2 linked regions of the Canis lupus familiaris genome follow. The main gene of each other region encodes a partner of the protein of the gene in region 2 in a complex. Links are inferred from orthologs where the notes say so. Each region holds a gene or a part of one and is shown on either strand. Other genes may lie near its edges.

Region 1 (3,649 bases), on a different chromosome or scaffold from region 2:
CCATTCCAGCTGACCACAAAGCCCATGGTAACCTCTGCTTGTAATGGAACACGGAATGTGGCCCCTTCAGGAGAGGTCAGTGGGGATAGGGTTCCATTGGGGCTACTGATCTTCATACTTAATCATTAAAGTGAAATTTTAGAAATATTCTCTTTTTAGGAATTGAGTAGAATGACTTTGATATGTTTATAAGCCTTGATATAAAGGCCAAGAAGTTAAAGGTTAAGAAAATACACATTTAAAAAATATTTATAAAGAGCTCAATTAGTAATACATCTGTTCTTACTTAAGTATTTGTAGAGAACCTGAAATTGTTATTTTAAACATAATTTTGTGAGTCTTCACCAATTTAACTTTTGGTCTACTGATGATGTCTCTTCCATGAGCTAGCGAAATCATCACCAATAGAGTGATTTTTTTAATATTAAAAACTTATTTAAATTCTAAAATTGAGATACTACAGAGGTGATTCTATTTGGTTTTAAGGTATTTTCGAACTCATCGTCTTGTGAACTGACAGGTTCTGGACCCTGGAACAACATGCTGAAACTGGGTGAGGCGATCAGAGATCCTTCTGCTTTCCTCTACCTCTTCTTGCCTCTGTTTCCTGAGTTTTGAGAATATGAAAGAAAAACACTCATTTGGGTTGTGTTGAGAACACAGACATATTCTCTCTACCTTCTAAAAATTAAATAGTTTTCCTTTAGAATTGTCATTGAATTTACTGTTTGTGTTTTCTATTTGTATTATCATTGTCTTTAATGTGACTTAGTTCAGGGTTCACTCATTAAAAAAACATTTCCTGCGAGCTTACTCTGTGTCAGGCATGTGTTATCAAGAATAACAGAATGACAAAATAATAAATAAAATCTTTTATAACAAAATACAAAACAAATAACAAAATAAATAAACCCTGTCTTTCAGGGACATCATCTGATGGGGGAACAACTTTAGGTTTTCAGTTCTGATAGCTTTATGGATTGGGAGCCTCCACGTCATTCTTGGAGCCCAAAACTGAATTATAATTGTACATAACCATACATAACTTAAAATTCTATCATGGCGAAAAAGAGGAAGAATCTGGACTCCAGAAAATGACTGTGATCTCTGTCACACAGGTTTATGAAGTTTGAGAGAAAGGGATAAAAGCTTTTAGAAAAGTTGTGGGTTCAGAAGTAAAAATGGAAGAAACTAAGGAAATGATAAAAACTTTACAGTAGTAAGTTTCCTCTCAAGCTTTTTAAGTAAAGTATCTCTGGTGGCAGAGAAGAGCAAAAGGGAGTAAACACACACCCCTGAGTCTGAGACTCTAGTTCCAAAGGACCTGGAGTCAGGATGATACTTTTATGAAGTTTTTCATTTTATTTTAAAAGTTAATATAAATTAGATATTATAATCTATTCATATTGCTTGAATATATAGTTAAAAATGATTTATTATTAAAATGGACATATGGAAGGGATGGTACGTTTGTCTTGTGCCAAGCTGTCAGCACTATATTTCTATGTGTTCATGTAGCCTTGTCAGAGAAGCACAGGTATTCCTGGGGCACGTTTCTTGCATAAAGAAGTCTACAGTCTCTTATCTGAAATCCTTAAAGGTGTACTGGGGAATTTAGAATTTTTCATATTTTATATATATCGTGTTTATTGAATATTATTTTTAAAAATCCCATTAGAATTGAACATTGGTTCAAATCAGGTTTTGCAAACAAAGGAATTCAGGTCAGTTTAAGTTTGCTGCTACAGACTCATGGAAAAACTTTCAGTTTTAGATCTCTTTACATTTTGGAGTCCTCAGGAGCTCTATACCTGTGCAGTAGCTCTAGCAGTAAATGTGGCTGATAAAAGTTTGGTTACCCTTTTTTGAAGTATAGTGACCGTCTCATAAGTGATGGAAGCTTCCAGTGAAATGTAGTAACATATAGCAGATTTTCATTTAAAAATAACTCCTGTTTTCTTGGGAAGAAGAAATGATTTGAACAACTCACTCAATTTGATTTGATTACATGGAGTTTGTAATCATGAGTTCCTCATGCTTCTTGATGCTACAGCAAGTGAAACTAGAAAAGCTTGCCTGTGAATTTTTACTGTCTCCCTGAAATCAAATACAGATAAAGCACTATTGCTTTTCTTCAACTTTTTACAGTGTTGAATCTCTGTGTTGTATAGTAATGGCATGTGAAAGAATAAGATATTTAGTTCTACAATATAGACCACTCACAGATTTTCTAATGCAGACTGTTCACAGGTTTGGGTTTGTTTTTGTTTTGTTTTTTTACAATTACAAATGCATTTTTAAAATAGGTAATAAATCCCCTAATGGAATAAGTGACTATCCAAAGATCAGAGTGACAGTAACCCGAGATCAGCCCCGAAGAGTCCTGCCTTCCTTTGGGTAAGTGTAAATGGAAACTTAGTACTTATTAGGTGTTGGCTCTTGCTAGGCATTCTTTTGTTCTATTATGTAATCTTGTTAAATAAGTACTCTGAGGTTAGTAAGTTGCCAGATATCATACAGCTATTGAAAAATTTGAACTCAGGTGTGTGTTACTTTCTCTATACCATAGCATATGCTTATAGTATCTGATTTTTTTTTTAACTTACTTGACAGAAAGAGAGCACACAAGCAGGGGGAGTGGCAGGCAGAAGGAGAGGGAGAAGCAACCTGCCTGCTGAGCAGAGAGTACAATGTGGGGCTCGATCCTAGGACCTTGGGATCATGACCTGAGCCAAAGCAGACACTTAACCAACTGAGCCATCCAGGCGCCTCATACAGCATCAGATTTTGAAAACCTTTTTTTTTTTTAATTTTTATTTATTTATGATAGTCACACAGAGAGAGAGAGAGAGAGAGGCAGAGACACAGGCAGAGGGAGAAGCAGGCTCCATGCACCGGAAGCCCGACGTGGGATTCGATCCCGGGTCTCCAGGATCGCGCCCTGGGCCAAAGGCAGGCGTTAAACCGCTGCACCACCCAGGGATCCCTGAAAACCTTTTAAAATGATTTGTTGCTCACTTCTAAACTTTGTTTTAGGGAGATCCCTGGGTGGCTCAGTGGTTTAGCGCCTGCCTTTGGCCCAGGGCGCGATCCTACAGTCCCGGGATCGAGTCCCACGTTGGGCTCCCAGCATGGAGCCTGCTTCTCCCTCCTCCTGTGTCTCTGCCTCTCTCTCTCTATGTCTATCATAAATAATAAATAAATAAATCTTAAAAAAAAAACAACTTTGTTTTATTTTTAATTTTTTTTTAAGATTTTATTTACTTATTCATGAGAGACACAGAGAGAGGCAGAGAGAGAGACAGAGACAGGAGAAGCAGGCTGCATGCAAGGGGCCTGATATGGGACTCCATCCCGGGACTCCAGGATCGAGCCACCCAGGCATCCCTGTTTTATTTTTTTAAAGGATTTTATTTTATTTTATTTTATTTTATTTTATTTTATTTTATTTTATTTTATTTTATTATTTTATTATTTATTTATTTATGCATTCTCATACAAGCAGTGGGGAGGGGCAAAGGAGAGGATGAGAGAGAGAGAATCTCCAGCAGACTCCATGCTAAGAGTGGAGCTGGATGTGAGGCTCTATCCCACAACCCTGAGATCACCACCCAAGCCAAAACCAAGAGTTGGACATTTAACCGACTGA
Region 2 (4,196 bases):
ACCGCCTCACAAAGTAACATCCGTGTTTACTATGCAGCCATGGAAAGCAGAAAGGCCTTTCCTTGGTCCTTAAATGACTTACTGGGGAGAGAAGAGCCTTGTTCCAAGCATCATGGCTTCCTCATACAGGCCTTGCCCTCTCCTGACTATGCCAGCTCACTGCCAGCCAAGGTGGAGGCCCTTTCTGGGCCCAGGGTCCAGCTGCCAGACTCCTCCACACTACATTCAAGGCTGTCTGCACTGGGCTCCCTATGGCACCCTGATTCCTTCTCGCCCAAGCCCACCCTATGTGTCTCAGCTCCTCCCCTCACATGATACTCCCTGCGTCTACTGCCCTCTCCCCTACAATGACAGTTCAACCACCTTATCCATGGGGACTTCCGGGGCCCTCCTAAACCAGAAATGATCCCTTTCCCTTGCCGTATTTCCCACAGCTTTCTGTTCACGTTGCTCAGAGTATGCTTCACCTTCTACCCCCTGGCAGTTGAGTACCTCCTTCCTACTCCATCTTAGGAGGTCCTCAGAGGCCGGGGCTATAAGCTGGGCATCCCTGGTGACCAAGAAAATGGAGGCAACATGTCCAGCCTGAGCTGGTTAATTAGTGATCTGCACAGATTTTAAAGCTAGACAAGCTTGAGCTCTAATCCTAGCTCCATTACCTGTATCTGTGCCCTTAGGCAAGTCCTATTATTTCCCAGGGCTTCACTTTTCCAATCTACAAAATGGGGATGAGACCTACCTCAAGGACTTTTGTGAGGATAAACTTCCTTAAGTCAGGCACTTAAAGAATGCCTGACTCAGCATTCAGGGAATGGAATTTAATAGCAAATTCAGGGGATCCCTGGGTGGCTGAGCGGTTTAGCACCTGCCTTTGGCCCAGGGCATGATCCTGGAATCCCAGGATCGAGTCCCATCAAGCATCGAGCTCCTTGCATGGAGCCTGCTTCTCCCTCTACCTGTGTCTCTGCCTCTCCCTCTCCCTCTCTGTCTCTCGTGAATAAATAAAATCTTAAAAAAAGGGGGATCCCTGGGTGGCTCAGCGGTTTAACGCCTGCCTTTGGCCCGGGGCGCGATCCTGGGGCCCTGGGATCAAGTCCCACATCGGCTCCCGGCATAGAGCCTGCTTCTCCCTCCTCCTGTGTCTCTGCCTCTCTCCCTCTCTCTCTCTCTCTCTCTCTCATGAATACATAATATTTTTTTTTTTTTTTAAATCTTAAAAAAAAAAAAGCAAATTCATCTTTACTGAACTGAGCTGTCTACTGACAAACACAAGAATAGGGACTTAGCTGGACCTCTGTTAAAATCCCAGCTCTGCTACTTACCAGCTAGATGACCTTGGACAAGTTAGGTCTTCCAAATCTCTTCTCCTTATTTATAAAATGGTAACATTTCTACATCCCCCCCTCAGGGATGACGTGTGATCGGAAGTGATAACAGCACAGGGAGGGACTCTGTAAATGTTAAGGCCCTTCAGAGACATCAGGAATGTGCACTGCCATGCTCCTGACAACCTGAGAACTCCAGTTTCTGAGGCAGGGCAGGTGAGCAAGCTTGCCTGCAATCCATGACAACCGGGCAAGTCCATACCAGTTTCCCTGGTTGGGCCAGAACCTCAAGAGTCCTTGCAAGTGCTGGCGTAGGTGCCTTCACTTCCAAACGTCAGGGGATTCAGGGTTGACCAGTGTTAGCCATGCTTTGGCCAGGGATGAACAGACAAGGCCTGCATTCTGCTTCCTAATTCCCTACAGTCCTGGTTCCTAGGACAAGAACATCCCTCCCTCTTCCAGGGGCATTCAGTTGCACGGACCAGACCTCCCAAGAGGGCCTTACCTCTGGGAAAGCCAACCAGTATTCCCAAAACCAGTCTGGGATCATAGTGGTAAAGGTGGGAAGTAAGAAGTCAGGGACTATACCCTGACACTGCTGTTGTGATCCTTTGTTGTTTACTATCTCCTCCCACTAAGACATAAAGTGGCCCTTTCCACCAGCCAACCTAAGCTGTCACCAGCAAGGATGGCCTCCAAAAACATGATGACTAGCAGGGAAGCCTATATATGTCCTTGTGGGCACATCTTTGAGCCTCACTCTAAAAGGGACCCAAAACTATCTCACAGAGCTACTAGGTAACAAACAACGTGATAATGTAGCTAAACAAGCTGGAACAAGAGTCATTGGCACACACTCTTTCCTCCCCTGGGCCAGCCCAAGCAGGAACTCACCATCTTCCGCAGTGTTGAGTTTGAGGCTCTTGCCCTTGAAACTCAGCTGACCCCCAGCCACCTGGGTTTTGGCAAGTGTCTCTGCTAGCTTGGCAATGTCTTCAGAGGCCATGCTGGCCACGTTGCTGGGCTCCCCCGGAAATCTGCAAACTGAGCAGGATGAAGTTTCATTAAGAGACAGGAGTCTCCTGGGGCCCCCTGGTTGGGGAGGGCCGGGTAGGACATCAGCCCTTTCAGGGGCTTAACACCCCCTCCTCCATGGAGACTCCAACAGCTAAACTACTGGGAGAAATGAAAACACTATTAGGTAAGGAACAATTCTAGAAAGGTGGAGAAAGTGGCAAGAGTAGTAAAATCATGTTTTAGCCCCTGAAGGATTACTAGCTTATTTTAACTCCTCGCCTGCCCCAATGGCCCCAGCTGGAACACCAAGCACAGCCATCTGAGCTGCCCATCTTCTGGGCTCCCAGTGAATGGTAGTTGGGCCCAGACCAACAGCTGCAATGCAAAGAGCCTACTCCAGGCACACACCTGCCTGATCATCCTGGCTGCTCTCTGTTTGAGGGTCCCATTCCTCAAACAGGACTAGGATGGCTAAGGGATCCAGGTTATCCATCCCGCGAAATGCCCCACCTCCCACGCTGGCATGTCTCTGGGGATGGGGCACAGGTGTCAGCCCACTGCCCGTCTGGTTTCAACCTTAGCCAGAAGACTGGGCAATCCATGGTGGCCAAACCTCAGGGGTTCCTAGGAGACCAGAGGTCTCTACATCACAACAGCCACCATCACAATAGACCAAGGGCAGAGCTGCTGAAGAAAGGAGCTTCTGGCCTGGAAGAACTCGGCAGATTGGCAGAAAGACCACTCCATTTCCCTAAAGAGGAAATGGCAGGTCATCAGGGGAGACCAAGGATGATGGATATGGAAGACAGAACGAGGAAGGGCCCACAAAAACTCCTTACCCAGAACATGTCCTTCCCCAATCTATTCGTCCTCAAGATACAACTGTGATGGCTCCCCAATCCTCCAACTCCCCCCAGGCTTCCTCTGGGCTCCTATAGCCAGCCTCCCACCTCCTTCTCCTTATCTTAACCCTGATCACCCTGGCTTGCCAATTTTTACAAATATGTATGAATTATTCTCCTAGATAAGAAGGCACCACTCATTCATTCAATAAACATTTATTGGGTATTACTATGTTCTGGACGTTGCTCTAGATACCAGAACCAAGCAGTGAATGAAGCAAAAATACTGCCCTCTCTCTTTTTTATAAGATTTTATTTTTATTTATTTTTTAAGATTTTATTTTTTTAAGTAATCTCTATGCCCAACATGGGTCACAAACCCACAACTCTGAGATCGAGTCACATGTTCTACCAAATGAGCTAGCTGGGCACCTCTTAAAACATGTGTTCTAAATAAGACATGTGGAATCTTATTTGTGTAAGTGATAAGAAAAACAAACGGAGAAGGGGGTAAGGAGTTTTAAGGGGGTTGCGATTTATTTATTTATAAAGATTTTATTTATTCATGAGAGACATAGAAAGAGAGGCAGAGACGTAGGCAGAGGGAGAAGCAGGCTCCCTGTGGGAAGCCTGATGTGGGACTCGATCCCAGGACGTTGGGATCCTGGCATCACGCCCTGAGCCAAAGGCAGACGCTCAACCACTGAGCCACTCAGGTGCCCCGAGGGGGTTGCGATTTAAAACAGATTGGTCCAAAAATAAATAAATAAATAAAAATAAAAATAAAAATAAAACAGATTGGTTAGAGGGGCACCTGATGGCTCAGTTGGTTAAGTGTTCAACTATTGATCTCAGCTCTGGACTTGATATCAGGGTCATAAGTTCAAGCCCCATGCTGGGCTCCAGGATGGGCATAGTACCTAGGTTAAAAACAAACAAACAGGGCAGCCAGGGTGGCTCAGGGGGTTTAGCACTGCCTTCAGCCCAGGGCATGATCCTGGGGTCCCAGGAT

What was found. The genes of interacting proteins can lie anywhere in the genome.
Region 1: the proteins of RANGAP1 (region 2) and SENP2 are in contact, whole or in part, in a crystal structure (PDB 2IO3), measured with the Homo sapiens proteins. The link is inferred for Canis lupus familiaris from reciprocal best matches to the Homo sapiens genes RANGAP1 and SENP2. Residues at the interface, in NP_001265580.1 of Homo sapiens: Glu467, Asn508, Thr511, Thr514, Arg515, Val518, His519, Leu523, Lys524, Ser525, Glu526, Asp527, Val529; in NP_067640.2 of Homo sapiens: Tyr408, His409, Trp410, Val477, His478, Asp495, Met497, Gly498, Gln499, Lys500, Pro536, His537, Gln541, Gln542, Asn544, Gly545.

The regions. Positions count from the first base shown.
Region 1 is NC_049255.1:18,502,643-18,506,291, forward strand, and holds part of SENP2 (sentrin-specific protease 2), read left to right. Parts: coding exon 1-75; intron 76-486; coding exon 487-553; intron 554-2,306; coding exon 2,307-2,397; intron 2,398-3,649. UniProt on the Homo sapiens protein: Protease that catalyzes two essential functions in the SUMO pathway.
Region 2 is NC_049231.1:24,911,708-24,915,903, reverse strand, and holds the start of RANGAP1 (ran GTPase-activating protein 1), read right to left. Parts: upstream 2,946-4,196; 5' UTR 2,836-2,945; coding exon 2,751-2,835; intron 2,370-2,750; coding exon 2,220-2,369; intron 1-2,219. UniProt on the Homo sapiens protein: GTPase activator for RAN. Converts cytoplasmic GTP-bound RAN to GDP-bound RAN, which is essential for RAN-mediated nuclear import and export. Mediates dissociation of cargo from nuclear export complexes containing XPO1, RAN and RANBP2 after nuclear export.